2 linked regions of the Caenorhabditis elegans genome follow. The protein of the gene in region 1 interacts with the protein of each later gene in a pairwise test. Each region holds a gene or a part of one and is shown on either strand. Other genes may lie near its edges. The genes, in order: pgl-3 and sepa-1.

What was found.
Region 2: the proteins of pgl-3 (region 1) and sepa-1 interact in binary tests that used the Caenorhabditis elegans proteins (3 or more experiments, as listed by UniProt).

The regions. Positions count from the first base shown.
Region 1 is NC_003283.11:4,754,079-4,757,996, reverse strand, and holds the start of pgl-3 (Guanyl-specific ribonuclease pgl-3), read right to left. Parts: upstream 2,013-3,918; 5' UTR 1,988-2,012; coding exon 1,871-1,987; intron 1,825-1,870; coding exon 1,678-1,824; coding exon of another isoform or gene 1,674-1,677; intron 1,633-1,673; coding exon 1,274-1,632; intron 1,227-1,273; coding exon 886-1,226; intron 840-885; coding exon 697-839; intron 647-696; coding exon 475-646; intron 432-474; coding exon 49-431; intron 1-48. Other genes in the region: hil-4 (Histone H1.4), read right to left, coding at 2,697-3,179, 3,366-3,644. UniProt on the Caenorhabditis elegans protein: Guanyl-specific endoribonuclease which cleaves the phosphodiester bond in single-stranded RNA between the 3'-guanylic residue and the 5'-OH residue of adjacent nucleotide, resulting in the formation of a corresponding 2',3'-cyclic phosphate intermediate.
Region 2 is NC_003279.8:13,298,927-13,302,844, forward strand, and holds the start of sepa-1 (Protein sepa-1), read right to left. Parts: upstream 1,791-3,918; 5' UTR 1,776-1,790; coding exon 95-1,775; intron 1-94. UniProt on the Caenorhabditis elegans protein: Adapter protein that connects P-granules in somatic cells with the autophagic machinery.

The sequences.
Region 1 (3,918 bases):
AAAATCGGTTATTATATTAAATACAAAATAAATTTAAAAAATTGTTACCGGTGGCAGAGCAACAGATTTTGTCGGAGAATCCCAACCATCGCTAGAAAATTGAACAGGTGAGGCAGTTGATGGAGTATTGTCATTCTTCTCCGCATTTAGTTTCTCCGGAATGACATCATGGGCAGCCACGGTAACACTTTCTCCGATGATCTTTGCAGAATTGAGCACATTCGCCAAGTCTGTTCCTTCACATGGAATCGTTTGACGACTGAATGGCATCTTTTCAACAGTTACTACTTGAGCTGCAGTAGAGACGGTGGTCGGTCCATTGGAAGTTGTGGTCTGTTTTGCAGTTGCAGAAGGTTCCGACGAACTGCTCTTCTCCAGAGATTCAATGATACGATTCACGTGATCTTTAGAATCCAGTCCTTGGGCGAACTCTGTAAAATTTATTCGATTAAAATAAGAAGCCTTTTTGCTTACTTTTGAAGCTATCAACAAGAAGATTCTTGGATTTTGGGCTTAGGAATTGAAGCTGATTGAGTGATTTCTTCTCACTCTCCGATCCGTAGAACTCTGTGATCCACAATGCAAATTGGAGAGCATTATTCACATTCTCGATGACAGTTTCGTTGTTCAACTCGCTTTGAGGGAGCTGAAAAAGGAAAATATTGATTATAAGTTCACGTGAAGGAATAATTTTACCAGTGGGATTGGTTGAGAAAAGCACTGCTCGAGAACAGAGATTCTGAACTTTTTCAGCAATTCAGCGATTGCTCTTCTTCTCCACGTGCTCTCCAAGTCTTCAGCGAGGCCAACAAACGCCCAATCCTCGAATGACTTCATGGCTGAAAAAGAAACTGTTCAAAGAAGTTTGCAATCTTTGTAACTAACATCCCAAAAAGACTTGAATGATATGGCTTGCGAGGAACACGGCACTTTTGAAAACACTCCGTTGCAATCCGGGAAACACTTCCGCTCGGACACTCGACGGCATCAACGATTGGATTGTCCTGGAAGCATCACGCTTTCCATCAGCAAGTGAGCGAACGACGAGGAAAATCAATTGATATCCTAGCTGAGATTTCAGGACGAGTGATTCATCATCCTCGACGGCGCTGGCTTCTTCGAAGCGAGCAACGATGTGGGATACAGCTTTTTCGATAGATTCTTCTTGTGGAGTTAACAGAAGTTGGGTGAATGGGTCCACAGAATCAATCTTCGGTCCCTCGATCCTGAAAAACACTCCTGAGACACACAACATTAAATCATGATAACCTACATCAGCTTCTTCAACAACGGCTTGCAGGCCTCAAACGCATCTGTGACGTTGTCACGGATGATTTCAATTTCTTCCTGGAGCTCCTCCGATGCAAATCCAAGCAGTTTTGCCAAGACATAGACGTCGAAATCAAGATCCAAGGCGCTCGACAGTTCCGAGAGCTCGACAAACTTCTCTTCCGCTTCTTCCGCACCGAGAACTTTGAGCAAGACTTGCAGAATCTTGGCGTCATTCGACTTCTTTAGCTTTGTTTTTCGGGCGAGCATCGAGATTTTCTTTTCATCATCGATGATTGGAGCCAAATCATGAGCTTGTCCAAGCTGACTCAGCTTCTCAGCGCCAGAATCGAACTTTGGTCGCTGAAATGAATTATTAATACAAGAACATTTCGGAATTAAACCAACGAAGTCATCCCCGAGAATAAGGCAAACGTCCATGCCAGCAGCAAGCACGTAGGCACTGGAGTCATTTGGCAGGATCATCTCCGCAATTTCTTCATTGCTTGGGCGTTTGTCGGTGGCTCCCAAGACGAAAGCTGCAAGCTTGTTCGCCTGTAAGAAGAATATTTAACAAAAATCCCAATAGTTACAGTCAAACCTGTGCTATGTTGTTGACCAACAGCTCGTCATTGCTCGCGAGGTAATGGGCGAGATGGGGGAAAAAGTAGGACTTAATCCCATCGACCTCCACAATTTGTCGTTTGTTTGCTTCCATGTGAACTTTTTAATCACGAATAACACTGAAATTTTACGTGTAAAATGTTTAAATTCACCAAATGATGATTGAAAATAAGAAACTTCGAGCAAAAACACACAAAAAACTTTTTAAAAAAATTGACTTCTAAATCATCGAAAAGTTCGTGGAGGCTTTTCCAGTCGGGACCCATCGCGTGGGAAAAGGCGTGCGCCTTTAAAAATTAAATCAGTTTTTCAAAAAAAAATCTAGAAAGTTCTCTGAAAGTACTTTTCATTACCGAATTCGAAATATTGCGAGTAAATTTAAACAGAATTTGTTGCTTTATTTGAAAAAAGATCTGAATATTGCAAAAATTGCAAGTTAAGCCGATAAGTTGTGTATTTTAAGAAATCGAGCTTGATCAGTCGAATGAACTTGATATACAATTTTTCCAGAAGGAAAACAACAAAAATTTCCAAACGGTGAAGAAGACTGTCTGCTAGATGTTCCGGGACTTTATCTATCTTTTCCCGCTGTGAACACTGTTCCGAAAATCTGAAAGGTTTTGAAAAGACGAGAAAACGCTGAAACTTTATGCAGTAATTGGTTCATTGATAGGAATTGGTTTGTCAAAGGAACAATAAATAATGATTAGATGCAAAAAAACCAGTATCTGGGACACCTACAAGAGGGAGAGATATAATACAATGGTGAGATCGAAATTAATTTGATTATTCACACAATGTGATTAGGCCTCTGGGGCGGCGGCGGGAGCTTTCTTGGCTGGCTTGGCAGCGGCCTTCTTTGGAGCGGCTTTCATGGATGAAGACTTGGCGATCTTCTTGACTGGAGACTTGGTGACCTTGTTGACTGGAGACTTGGCGATCTTCTTCGGCGACTTGACCTTCTTCACCTTGACTTCAGTCTTCTTGGCCTTGTCTCCAGCGGCGGCCTTCTTGGCGACGGTCGTCGTAGCCTTCTTCTCTCCAGTGGCGGCCTTCTTGGCGACGGTCGTCGTAGCCTTCTTCTCTCCAGTGGCGGCCTTCTTGGCGACGGTCGTCGTAGCCTTCTTCTCTCCAGTGGCGTCCTTCTTTGCTGCAGCTGGCGACTTGGCCACGGAGGCTGTCTTCTCGGCAAGACGGAACCGTCCGTTGGCTCCATTTCCGCTAGCCTGGACGAAGGCGTTACTTTCAAGCCCCTTGTTAAGAGCTTTGCGGAGGTGAGCGTTGATCTGAAAGAAAGGTAAATTTAGGGAACGTCATCTCTACATAGTTTTTTTTCTGCTTTTCTGTTCGGCAATTTATTATTTTAAGAATTTTTAGGTTAAAAATGAAGTTATTGTAATCAAAAACCTGGTCAAAATTTTTCAGAAAAATTGATTTGAATTTAGCTTTTCTGCTTTAAATAAAACACATACCTTGTTAGCCTGATCTCCAAGCGTGTATTTTGTAGTGATATACTTGAGAATTGCGGCTCTGGAAGGTCCTTTGCGGTCCTTGATGCTGCTGATGGCTTCGGTGACCATATTGATGAATGGTGGATGGGCGGCATCGGCCTTGACCATTGGCACCTTGGTAGTCTTGGCCTTCGTAGCTTTTGAAGCCTTCGTAGCTTTTGAAGCCTTCGTAGCTTTTGAAGCTTTCGTTGGGGCTGCTGGAGTTTCGGTGGTGTCGGCGGCAACGGCGACGTCAGACATTGTTGAACGGATGAGTAGTGGTCACTTGGAGAGTGAGTGTGAGAAATGAGCGCGCGCCATCCTTATATACTCGCGCTCTACCACCCTGTCGGGACACATCTTGTTTGGCGCCGAATGCGAAATGGCGCGAAACTTGAGGGCACTTGACTAAATCACGCATAACTTTCTCGGTTCTTTATGAAATTGAATTTTCTTTTCAGAATCTTAAAGATGAATAGTTTAGCAACAAATTAAGCCAACAATCGATAGAAATTACTCTCGAATTGATATAAAT
Region 2 (3,918 bases), on another chromosome or scaffold:
ACTTTCACAGTAAGCCTACAGTACCCCTTAACCTATTTCCAAAAGAAATACGGGTAATAGCTACAGAAATAAAGTTTTTGAAAAGCATACATACCTTCAACTTGAGCAGCTTCTTCCGAAGGCACTGAGCTTGAGACGACTTGTTTCTTTCCGGCTCTTTCCATTCTTCGTTTCTCCAACTCGTCAATTTGAGCATTAATTTTGTTCAGCCGACTCTTGAGCTCTCTCCGCTTTTTCTTCTTGTCCATTGCTGCAACATCCGGCTCATAGGTGACATTCTTCACAGGCTCTGGTTCGTTGGCGTCCTGATGCTTCGATTCTGCTTCTTTTTCCAATAAGCCCTCAGACATCGTATCGTCCAATTCCTGATACCCATATGTATTTCCACCTTCAGAAGCAGCTGTAGTCGGCTCTTCGGGATCCTTCGCAATTTGGAGCTTCTCGAGATTCTTCACTATATTCTCTTCCGTCTCAGCTGATTCCACTCTAGGCGCCTTTCTGGGAATCTCTTGATCCTGTGTCAATCCAAGTTCCTTTCTCAAGTCACAATTAAAAGATTCAACCATCGCTAACACGGTTTCCATTATATCTTCGCCCTCCGTCTGAACTGGATGTTGTGGCTCGACTCGCTCCGTGCTAGCCTTCTTCTTTTCGAATTCAGTTTTCATCTCAACCCATTGAACTTGGAATGTTTTCACCGCAACTGGCTGCATCTTCTCGAAGCCTCCACTTCCAGATGTTTCTTTCTGAAGTCTTCCATCACGACCTCTCATGATCATATACACCTTGCGATTGTCTATATTTTCCGCCATAAACAAGTTCAGCCCACTGGTGATCTTTTTCGGATCATAAACTAGATTGCGTTTAACTTGAACGAATCCAAATGTACGGACATCATAGATGTACTGCTCGATTTGATTATTCTCGGTGTTATGAACATGAATCACCAATTCGGATGCATTACGCTCCACATACAATGGAATAAGGTTCGATTCGGTGACTTCACATGTGCAAAGAGTGCAGGAAATCTTCTGGAAGTCGCCTGTTTCGTCAATGTACTCGAGTCTTGTGTAATCCCCGCTAGTCTTTGAATAGACGCATAGAAATTCTTTGTTCAAATGCAGACATTGACGAACTTGGAATCGTGGGAGATTCTTCTGATACTCTGCGTAGAGTCTATCAAAGCTCTCATTACCTGATGAAATCTTGACTTCATCAGAATTCGCGGCTCTATCCCACCTATCACGTTCCAGATCTTGAAGCGTCAGAGTCCTTAAAGCAGCTGTTGGAAGAGTTCGGAACTGTCCATAACTTGTAGATTCCTTACTGAGAAGACCACGGCAATCTCTTTCAATCACGACCAGCTCGCCTTCAGGACCATTTAGAGCAACCACAACGTTTCCTTTAACAAGAAACGCCGGATTGTACTTAATCTCGGGACGATTCACTTCAACAAAGCAATCCGTCTTGAAAGCGTAGATAAACTGCTCCATCTTCCCGGTCATTGTATTATACCCGAAGAGCACGAAATCTTCGAGTAGGTCACTGTAGACAGCGTAGTACGGAGAAATGTGCTTCTCGGTGAGAATTGGTTGGCATATGAGGCATTTGTGAGGGATCAAATCACCAGCATCCGTTTTCTCATAGCAAAAGCGTTGTCTGTTTGGGCGAAGAACACTGACCACGTGGATAGCAGTGGCAGGGCACTTTCCGAGTGCAAACTTCGGTGGAGGTGAAGGCGCTGGATTGGAGGTAAGAGCAGAAAGAGGTGTCATCTTGGAGATTTTTCTGGAATTAAGGTGTAGTTAGATTAAGAATAATTGAAAACGTATACAAATGCAATAAAAAAGTGATAAGTGAAATTACCAGGCGCGATTAAAAATAGGAGTTTAAAGGAAATTTAGAAGTATAAGAACCACTGCAAAAAATCAAAAATGAAAAAGTAGTGAGCAAAAAGTGTTGTAGGAGTTAATACAAAACGACGAGTGCAACAGGACATATAAACGTATCAAGTAAAGTTTATCGATTGGTAAATGCTCCCGCCAACTCCGCGTACAGAACACCTGGGAATAAGCAATCAATACAGATTGTTGTATAATACTAGGCGGGAAGATGCACAAATTTTGTGGGCTAGAATTTAGGTAAGGCTACTGCTAGGGCTGAAAATTAAATAAAATGAATCGAAAATATGAATCTCGTAAATCCACAAGTGCGGTACGGTTTTTATGGGCGATGCCTTTTCTGACGAAAATTTCGGCGTTAAATAGGATTTTGGGATTTTAATAAATTAATATAAAATCACGGAAATTTTTTATATTTTTTTCACATCGATATTTGGTATCAGGGGCATAAATAGCGTCTTTAGTCCTCCTTTGTGTTAAAATCAAGTTTTGAATAAAACCATCAAAGTACAACTGATATTTTTTGTCCAATTTTTGGTAAAACCACAAGTAACTACAAGATACACTTTTAGAAAAGGGAACTACGGACATATCAATTTCAAGAATACATCATATTTGAAAAAGGCAAAAAGGAAACAAATACTGTAGTTCATAGCCGAGAACAAAAAAATGGAAACAGGAGCTCTAGAGACTGACTAGAGAAAAGAAAAACGACCTACTAGAGGCGATGCAGGCAGACTGAATGATGTCTTCTGCTCTTCAAGACAACTCAGAGCATCTGGAGCAAACGCTGCAACCAATTTAAATCGATACTCAGCTCTTGGGATACCAGATTCGGGAAAGAGGTGGGAATTGGCAGATGTTTTTATCGACTGATGTAAGATTGAGACGACTACCAGGAGAAGATCTACAAACGAATGTAGTATATTGATGGTTTTTAACAAAATTTCTGGGAACTGATTTTACAGATATGGTAAATCTCAACATGTTACGGCTGCTGATCTAATAGAAAGAATTATCGGCAATCTGAACAGAAAAGTATCCAAGATATGGGCGGAGCATGAACTGAATATGGCACCGCCCATATCTTGGCTACATGTACTTCTCACATTTCTTCATAAATTTCTCCTATACTCCCATTATTAAGACAAAGCAAGGTCAGCTTAAATTCCCAGACACTGAGCAAGGACGCGATCCACCTGAGAGTAATTCGACCAGGGGTGGACGGCAAATGATTTTTTGCCGGAATTTGCAAATTGGCGGAAATGAAAATTTCCGGCAAATCGGCAAATTGCCGGAATTGAAAAGTTCCGGCAAATCAGCAAACCGGCAAATTGACGCTTTGCCAAATTTGCCAGAAAAACGGGCAAATTGTGGTTTTGCACATTTTTTTTGGAAATTTCAGAATTTCGATTTCACTCAGCAGACTTTTACGCATCCTATGAATGTTCCTACATCTATTTTTAAAAATAAGCAAACTCTATGAATATATCTAAAGAAAACGGAATAAAATTTCAAAAAGGCACAGTTTTAAGTGCTTCTGTCATATAAAAAGCCCCTCTAAACACTTCCGGCAATTGGCAAACCGGCAAACCTCCGGAATTGAAAACTTCCGGCAAATCGGTAAACCGGCAAATTGCCGGAATTCAAAACTTCCGGCAAATCGGCATCTTGCCGCTTTGCCGAGTTTGTCGACAAAAAAATTTGCCGAACGGCAATTGCCGCCCACCCTTGAATTGGACTACAAATGTGGACAGAAGATTCATAGAATCAGAGAAAATTACATCCATTTGCCGGATTTCTTTTGGAAACGTGCCCCATTTTAATTTGCCTCAAAGAGAACCTGGCAATCCCATTCTAAAAGACTATGACGTCAAGCAAGATTTTCAGCAATGATTTTTTTCCCGCCGTTTCTAAAGGCACACAAATTTACAGTTGTCTTTTATTTATGGAACATCGGGAAGAAAAATGAGACCGCAAGACAAAATAAAATAAAAAAATATGCAATTTAACAAAA